Linked DNA regions of Cricetulus griseus. The protein of the gene in region 1 interacts with the protein of each later gene in a biochemical or structural test. Links are inferred from orthologs where the notes say so. Each region holds a gene or a part of one and is shown on either strand. Other genes may lie near its edges.

Region 1 (3,500 bases):
TTCAAGCTTGAAACTAGCCCAGGAACCTAACACAGGTTAGTACAATTTCCTCTATCCAAAAGAAATAGGGCTGGAGAGATGGCTCAGAGGTAAAGAGCACTGACTGCTCTTCTAGAGGTCCTGGGTTCAATTCCCAGCAACCATGTGTTGGCTCACAACCATCTATAATGAGATCTGGTGCCCTCTTCTGGCCTGCAGGCATACATGCAGGCAGAACATTGTATAGATAATAAATAAAATCAAAATAGAGACAGAGAGGGAGAGGGGGAGGGGGAGAGACAGAGGGAGAGACAGAGGGAGGGAGGGAGGGAGGGAGGAGGGAGGAGAGAGAGAGAGAGAGAGAGAGAGAGAGAAGAGAGAGAGAGAGAGAGAGAGAGAGAGAGAGAGAGAGAGAGAGAGAAATTCTCCAAAGGGGCATAGTTAAAGAAAACATCCTCCTGGGCCTGATGGCATACATGTTTAATCCTGGCACTCAAGAGGTAAAGATCTCTTTGAGTTCTAAGGACAGTCTAGTCTAAACAGTATGTTTCAGGCCAGCTGGGGTTACAACAAAATGAGGTCCTGTCTCAAACAACAAAAAAGGCCTTCAATAGTCCATGAAAAATTTACACAACCCAACACATGGGTTCACTGGAAAATATAATTTAATACGAAGTAAAGCCAACTTATTTAGCATATAGTCCACCAAAACATTCTGAAAACACAAAGGTTTTTTTTTTTTGATCTTTGGTAAAATCAGCAAACTTAAAAGGTAAAAAGAAAATACATCGTCTAAGTATCAAAAACTAACATTAGAAGAAAATAATCTTAGACTGATATATTGACACTGGTCGTTGGTAGTTTTAGAAGAAATAAGGAAGGCTGTATTTTAAAGGCTGACCAAAATAACTTCACCTATTACTGAAAGGATAGAAAAGGGGTTGGAGAAGACAGCTCAGGTGTTTACTGCTCTTTCAGAGGATCCAGGTTCAATACCCAGCACTTACAGAAGGCTCACAACTGCCTATAACTCCAATTCTAGGAGATCCAATACCCTCCTCCTCTGGTCTCCAAGGGCACCGCATGCACATAATACACACAGTTAAACAGGCACATACACATAAATAAAAATAAATAAAATCTTCTGAAAATGTATCTCACACACAGGGATAAAAAGGCATTACCTGGATCTGTGCCCTATTTCCAGCTGTAATATTAGATATTGTCCAACATGCTTCCTTTTTGATAGATTCCTTTGGGCTACTCAGCAAATGCAATAAACTCTGAAGAGCTGAGCAGTTCAAAATTACCTGAAAGAAAAAAAAAAATTTAAGTTTTACTTACGGTATAGTTTCAAATATCATTTGGTTTTGGATTTTTGTTGGTTTTTCTGTTGAGGAAAGGTCTTATACAGCACAGGCTGGACTCAGTGCATCCTGGAAGATGAGCTTGAAATCCTGGATCATCTTCTGTCCACCTCCCAAGAGGTAGTAATAAGTGCATTTTTCACTCAACTTATTTTTGTCTCAAAAACAGAGAAACCCTGTCTCAAAAACAAAACAAACAAAAAAACCTAAAACAAACTTATTTTACTACAAATGTAGAAGAAAAACTCTGGAATTCTAAAAAAAAAAAAAAAATAGCTTTATTCATGGGGAAGATGTATGTGTTTGGACTTGAGCATACCATAGTACACATGAAATCAGAGAAAAATTTGCTGGAGTTGGTTCTCTCCTTCCACCATGTGTCCTAGGAATCAAACTTAGGCTATCAGGCTTGGTGACAAGTGCTTTTACCATTTGGGACAACGTTTCAGTCCTTTAAAAACTATTTAGTACTAGTCTGAAATACATTAAAGACTATGAATCTGGTTTCACTGTGTACATTCACAAGCACTGGGATGTGTGGTGGTACATAATCAAGCACTTGGGAGTCAAACATGAGAAGATCTTGAATATAAGCACAGTTTGATAGATTCAGTCATACTCTGCTCTTGAGAAAACAAACAGAACAAAACCCATAATACACAACTACAATGACATTAGTATTAAAAAATATACTATGGTCTGGAGAGATGGTGGCTCAGTGGTTAAGAGCGCTTGATGCTCTTGCAGAGGACCCAGGTTCAATTCCAGCACCCACATAGTGGTTCACAACCATCCTCAACTCCAGTTCTAGGGGATCTGATGCCTTCCTCTGGTCGTCATAGGCACCCAGCTTACATGTTGTACACATATACACATGCACACAAAAGACTCACACATAAAATAAAATGAATAAATCTTTAAAAGCCAACTACAAATAGGGGCCAAGTATGGTGGCACACGACTTTAATCCCAGCACTTGGAAGGCAGAGGCAGGCGGATCTCTGTGAGTTGGAGGCCAGCTTGGTCTACAGAGTGAGTTCCAGGATAGCCACAGCTGTCACACAGGAAACCTTGTCTCAAAAAAAATGAAACACACACACACACACACACACACACACACACACACACACACACACACACACACACACACACACACACACACACAACCACACACGGGGGGGGGGGGGGGGGGGGCGCGGCCCCCGCACGGGACTGGAAACACAGCTCAGCAGTTAAGAGCACTGGCTCATCTTCCAGAGGACCCCACCAGGCAGCTCACAACTGTTCATTACTCCAATTTTAGGCAGATCTCCAAACCCTCACACAGATATATATGCAGGCAAAACACCAATGCACATGAAATAAAAATAAATTTAAGAAAATACATGAAATATATGTTAAAAAACTAGAATAAGCTGGACGTTGGTGGCGCACGCCTTTAATCCCAGCACTCAGGAGGCAGAAGCAGGCAGATCTCTGTGAGTTCGAGACCACCCTGGTCTATAGGAGCTAGTTCCAGGACAGCCTCCAAAGCCACAGAGAAATCCTGTCTGGAAAAACCAAAAAAAAAAAAAAACCACACACACAAAAAACACTAGAGTAAATGTTTATCTTAATTATGTAAATTAAAAAGAAAAAATTAAAAATTCTTCACAATAAAATAAATGAAAACTAAAACAAAGCCACGTGTTACCTACTAAACTACAAGCTAAAAGTGTTGTTTATTTAAGGAGGAGGACGAGAAGGAGGGGGAGGACGAGGAGGACGAGGAGGAGGCGGCAGAGATTTAGTTCCCCCAGTTCTGGAGGCTGGAAAATCCAGTTACAGCACCAATACCTGGTGTAAGAGACCTTCTTACTGCATCTCCAATGTGGCAAAAGGCTGAAGAGCCAGTGGGGACAAATATTCTGCCCTTATATGACAGAAAATCAAAAAAGTAAATAGAACTTTCTAAAAACAATTTTGTCACAAATGTTAAGAGTTTATTTTATAAACTTTCATTATTAAAAAAAATTGCAAATAATATAAACATCATACACCAAAAGCAACCAGATTTGAAGTCTATACATCTTAGTGAACCTCTATACAGTTAGGGCAGCCATTCTGAAGCTGTGGAGCTTCATGGCGGATTTTATACTTTCACTACTGAATAAA
Region 2 (3,500 bases), about 120 Mb from region 1:
CCTTGCGGATGAAAGAGGCAAACACCATGTCTACACCCTGCTCCACTCCAAACTTCAGGTCCTGAATGTCCTTTTCTGACACAGCAGGGAGATCCACAGCAGCTCCGGGGAGGTTCACCCCCTTCTTGCTGCCCAAGGAGCCACCGTTCTCCACCTCTGTCACCAGGTAGTCAGCACCTGTGTAAGTGAAGGATCAGTGATGAGGACCTGCCTCTTCTTGCAGGAGGTCACATCACTGAGGCAACTAGAGCCACGTGAAAGCCAGATTACAAGACCTCAGGCTGAGTCAATTTGACACTGTCAGTTTCCGCAACTATAAACAATACCCATGTACAAGTTGCGAAGATGTTTTGAATTTTGGGTGTGGTAGCACAGGTTAATTACCCCAACACTCAAGATGCAGATGCAGAAAAATCTGTGTTCAAGACTAAGGTGATCTACACAGTGATGTCAGCCAGCGCTACAAAGTGAGACCTTGTCTCAAAATAAATAGCTAAGCTAGTGAATCAGCCTCATTCGGCCTCAGTTACATAGTAAAGCCCAGCACAGGCAACAAAAAAACCCTCTCGTAAAACCAAAATGAAACGAACACATAAACCATTTAAACAGGTAAGATTTAACTGGCATTCAAAGGCACACAGGAGGGACTGGAGAGATTGCTCAGAGGTTAAGAGAACTGACTGGTTGCTATTACAGAGATCCTGAGTTCAATTGCCATCAACCACATGGTGGCTCACAACCATCTGTAATGAGATTTGGTGCCCTCTTCCATCATGCAGGTGGACATTCAGGCAGAACACTGTGCACATAACAAAAACTTCAAAGGCACATAGAAATATTCTACATGCCATATTGAGAGACCCACCTGCCATTGACTCCCAAGTGTTAGGACTAAACACTAAAGGCTCGCCCCACCCTCCTGGCCCTTTGGGGAGTTTTTTTTTGTTTTTTTTGTTTTTTTTTTTTTTAAACTTCTGATCCTCTGGAGATTGAACCCAGGCCCTATACATGCAGGCGAGTGCTATACCAAAAGGAGTTAAAATAGATTCAACTTGGGGGCTGGAGAGATGACTCAGAGGTTAAGAGTACTGACTCCTTTCCAAAGGTCCTGAGTTCAATTCCCAGCAACCACATGGTGGCTCACAACCATCTGTTATGAGATCTGGTGCCCTCTTCCGATGTGCAGATAAACATGGAAGCAGAATGTTGTATACGTAATAAATAAATAAAATCTTAAAAAAAAGATTCAACTTGAGAGCGCTGGAGATGGGAATTGGCGATGGACCATGCGCCATGCATACCTTTCTCCTTCACCTGCAGTGAAATGAGCCCGTCATCCACGTAGATCTTGCTGCCCACCTCCACCACCTTACAGATGTTCTTATAGTCCAGCCACAGGATGTTCTCATCACACTTCTCCATGTAGGCGTTGTCCAGGGTGATCTTCAGGGTGGCTCCCTTCTTCAGCTCTACTTCTGCAGTGCCGCTCTGTAGATTCAAGACAGCCCGTGGGTGTGTGAACTGCAGAAGCCACACCCCTAATGGGGATGCTCAAACCCTGGTTCGGAGTACTAAGCAACCTTCTTCCTTTGAAGAAATTCTAAGCTCCGTTCACCATTGAGACTTAAGTAGTTAAAAAAAAATTAAGGACCAACCCCCATGTTTCCTAGCTATGCAGATGAAAAGAGCAATGACAAAAAACATTTTCATGCCGGGACTGGAGATGGTGCAGTGGTTTAGAGCACTTACTGTTCATGCAGAAGATCTAGGTTGATTCCCAGCACCCATATGGTGGGTCTCATAGACATCCATAACTGCAGTGCACAGCATACATGTGGTGCATAGCCACACAAAAAAACCACCCACACCCATATGCATTAATAAAAACACTATCATTGGTAGACTTTAACTCTAAAACTTACCCAGTCAGAAACTAGAGAAAGCTACCAGGGAGGGAGGGTTTGCCTGCCCTCAGAGCACTTCCTAGGATACTCACGCCTTTGATGAGTCCAGTCCTGATCTCAGGTCCCTTTGTGTCCAGAGCCACAGCAACAGGCCGGTAGAGGATGGGGTCAGATGCAAAGCTTTCTGTGGCTGTTCGCACATTCTTGATAGTCTCTGCGTGATACTGGGGAAAGAAGGGAGATTGACTGACAGGTGCCCCACACCTGACTTCAGTTCCCATTCCCTACCTGTGAGCCAAAGTTGACCAATCACTTATGAAAGAAAAGGGTCTGAATTCCATCCTCATCCCCAACCCACTAATCTCATCAGCATCCATTCTCCCCACCACAGAACTAACTCCAATAGCAAATCCCAAGAACATTCTGAAACACTGTCACTAAAGCCCTACTCTTAAAGCAGCTATGTGTCCCTTCAGTTGTCCTAGTATCCCTAGGACTCAAAGATGCCTAACAACTGGGGCAGGTAAAGGACCCAGGATTTGTGTTTGAAGTCTGCCCTGGCAGTCTGTTTCCACTATCGATCCCAAAGTCAATTCAAACCCAAAGTTGTTGACTTAAGGTAACAATGGTCCAAGCTAAACAGCTCATTGCTTGGTCATATGCAGACACCTCCTTTCACAATCACTTTCTTAGGTCTGATTAGAAAAGGAGAGGAACCGGTGATTAGTGGCCTATCTCTGATAGAACTACCGTTCACTATACTTCACTTGCAATAGTACCCCCAAAGGCCTTTTCCTTTTTCTACCTGGGAGTCAGAGCCAAGACAGCTATAGAATCTGTGGATAGTGCAGATCTGTGTGACGCCACTGATCACAGGACATATATATAATTCATCATTTTAAGGGCTTTGTCTTTTAACCACTGTGCCCAGTTAAGACACCTGGAAGCCTGAATCTGTCCTTCATCCACAGGCGGCCTGAGAGCTAATCTTTTCTGACAGTAACTACTGACTGCTTGATTCATTTTAGAGAGGTACTCATAATAGTTTTTTTTTTGGAGGTTGCCCTTAATTCCCATAGAAGAATTACAGCTGAATAATTTCTACTTTATAGGAGTTAAAATCCTTCCCTCTGGCCTAATGTATCTTTATAAGTATGTGTGAGGTTTGAACCCAGGGATTTGTTCTTGCTGAGCTACACACCTCAGCCCATTCACAAGTGCTCTAAACAAACACATATTTGGCACCGTGTATATAAAACTGCATTATAATCCCAAAGGTTAGAACACTGGGTGGCCCATTATTAAAATTCTTTGTATGGCCAACCTATGGTACACTTTTGGAAGGTAGATCGTGTCTTCTGTCACAGCTATGGCTTTGCTGGCGCATTACCAAATGGTGAACGAAGACTGGAATCCATGAGTGCCATCCTTGTAGAGGCTCTAAATTTAGGCCATTTAAAAGTCAGTACAGCATTGCCTGTTCAGCAAGAATACTCATCTTGCCCATGTGACCAGCAAGAGGTGTAATTACAAGACTGCCAAGGATGGGAAAGGATCAGATGCAGCTGGTAGATGTTCCTGTCAGAGGGAGGGAAT

Evidence for each region. The genes of interacting proteins can lie anywhere in the genome.
Region 2: the proteins of importin subunit alpha-5 (region 1) and Pkm form a complex in vitro, tested with the Homo sapiens proteins (2 studies listed by BioGRID). The link is inferred for Cricetulus griseus from reciprocal best matches to the Homo sapiens genes KPNA1 and PKM.

The regions. Positions count from the first base shown.
Region 1 is NC_048597.1:53,645,393-53,648,892, forward strand, and holds part of importin subunit alpha-5, read right to left. Parts: intron 1,290-3,500; coding exon 1,164-1,289; intron 1-1,163. UniProt on the Homo sapiens protein: Functions in nuclear protein import as an adapter protein for nuclear receptor KPNB1. Binds specifically and directly to substrates containing either a simple or bipartite NLS motif.
Region 2 is NC_048597.1:171,214,744-171,218,243, reverse strand, and holds part of Pkm (pyruvate kinase PKM), read right to left. Parts: intron 2,129-3,500; coding exon 1,997-2,128; intron 1,489-1,996; coding exon 1,302-1,488; intron 178-1,301; coding exon 1-177. UniProt on the Homo sapiens protein: Catalyzes the final rate-limiting step of glycolysis by mediating the transfer of a phosphoryl group from phosphoenolpyruvate (PEP) to ADP, generating ATP.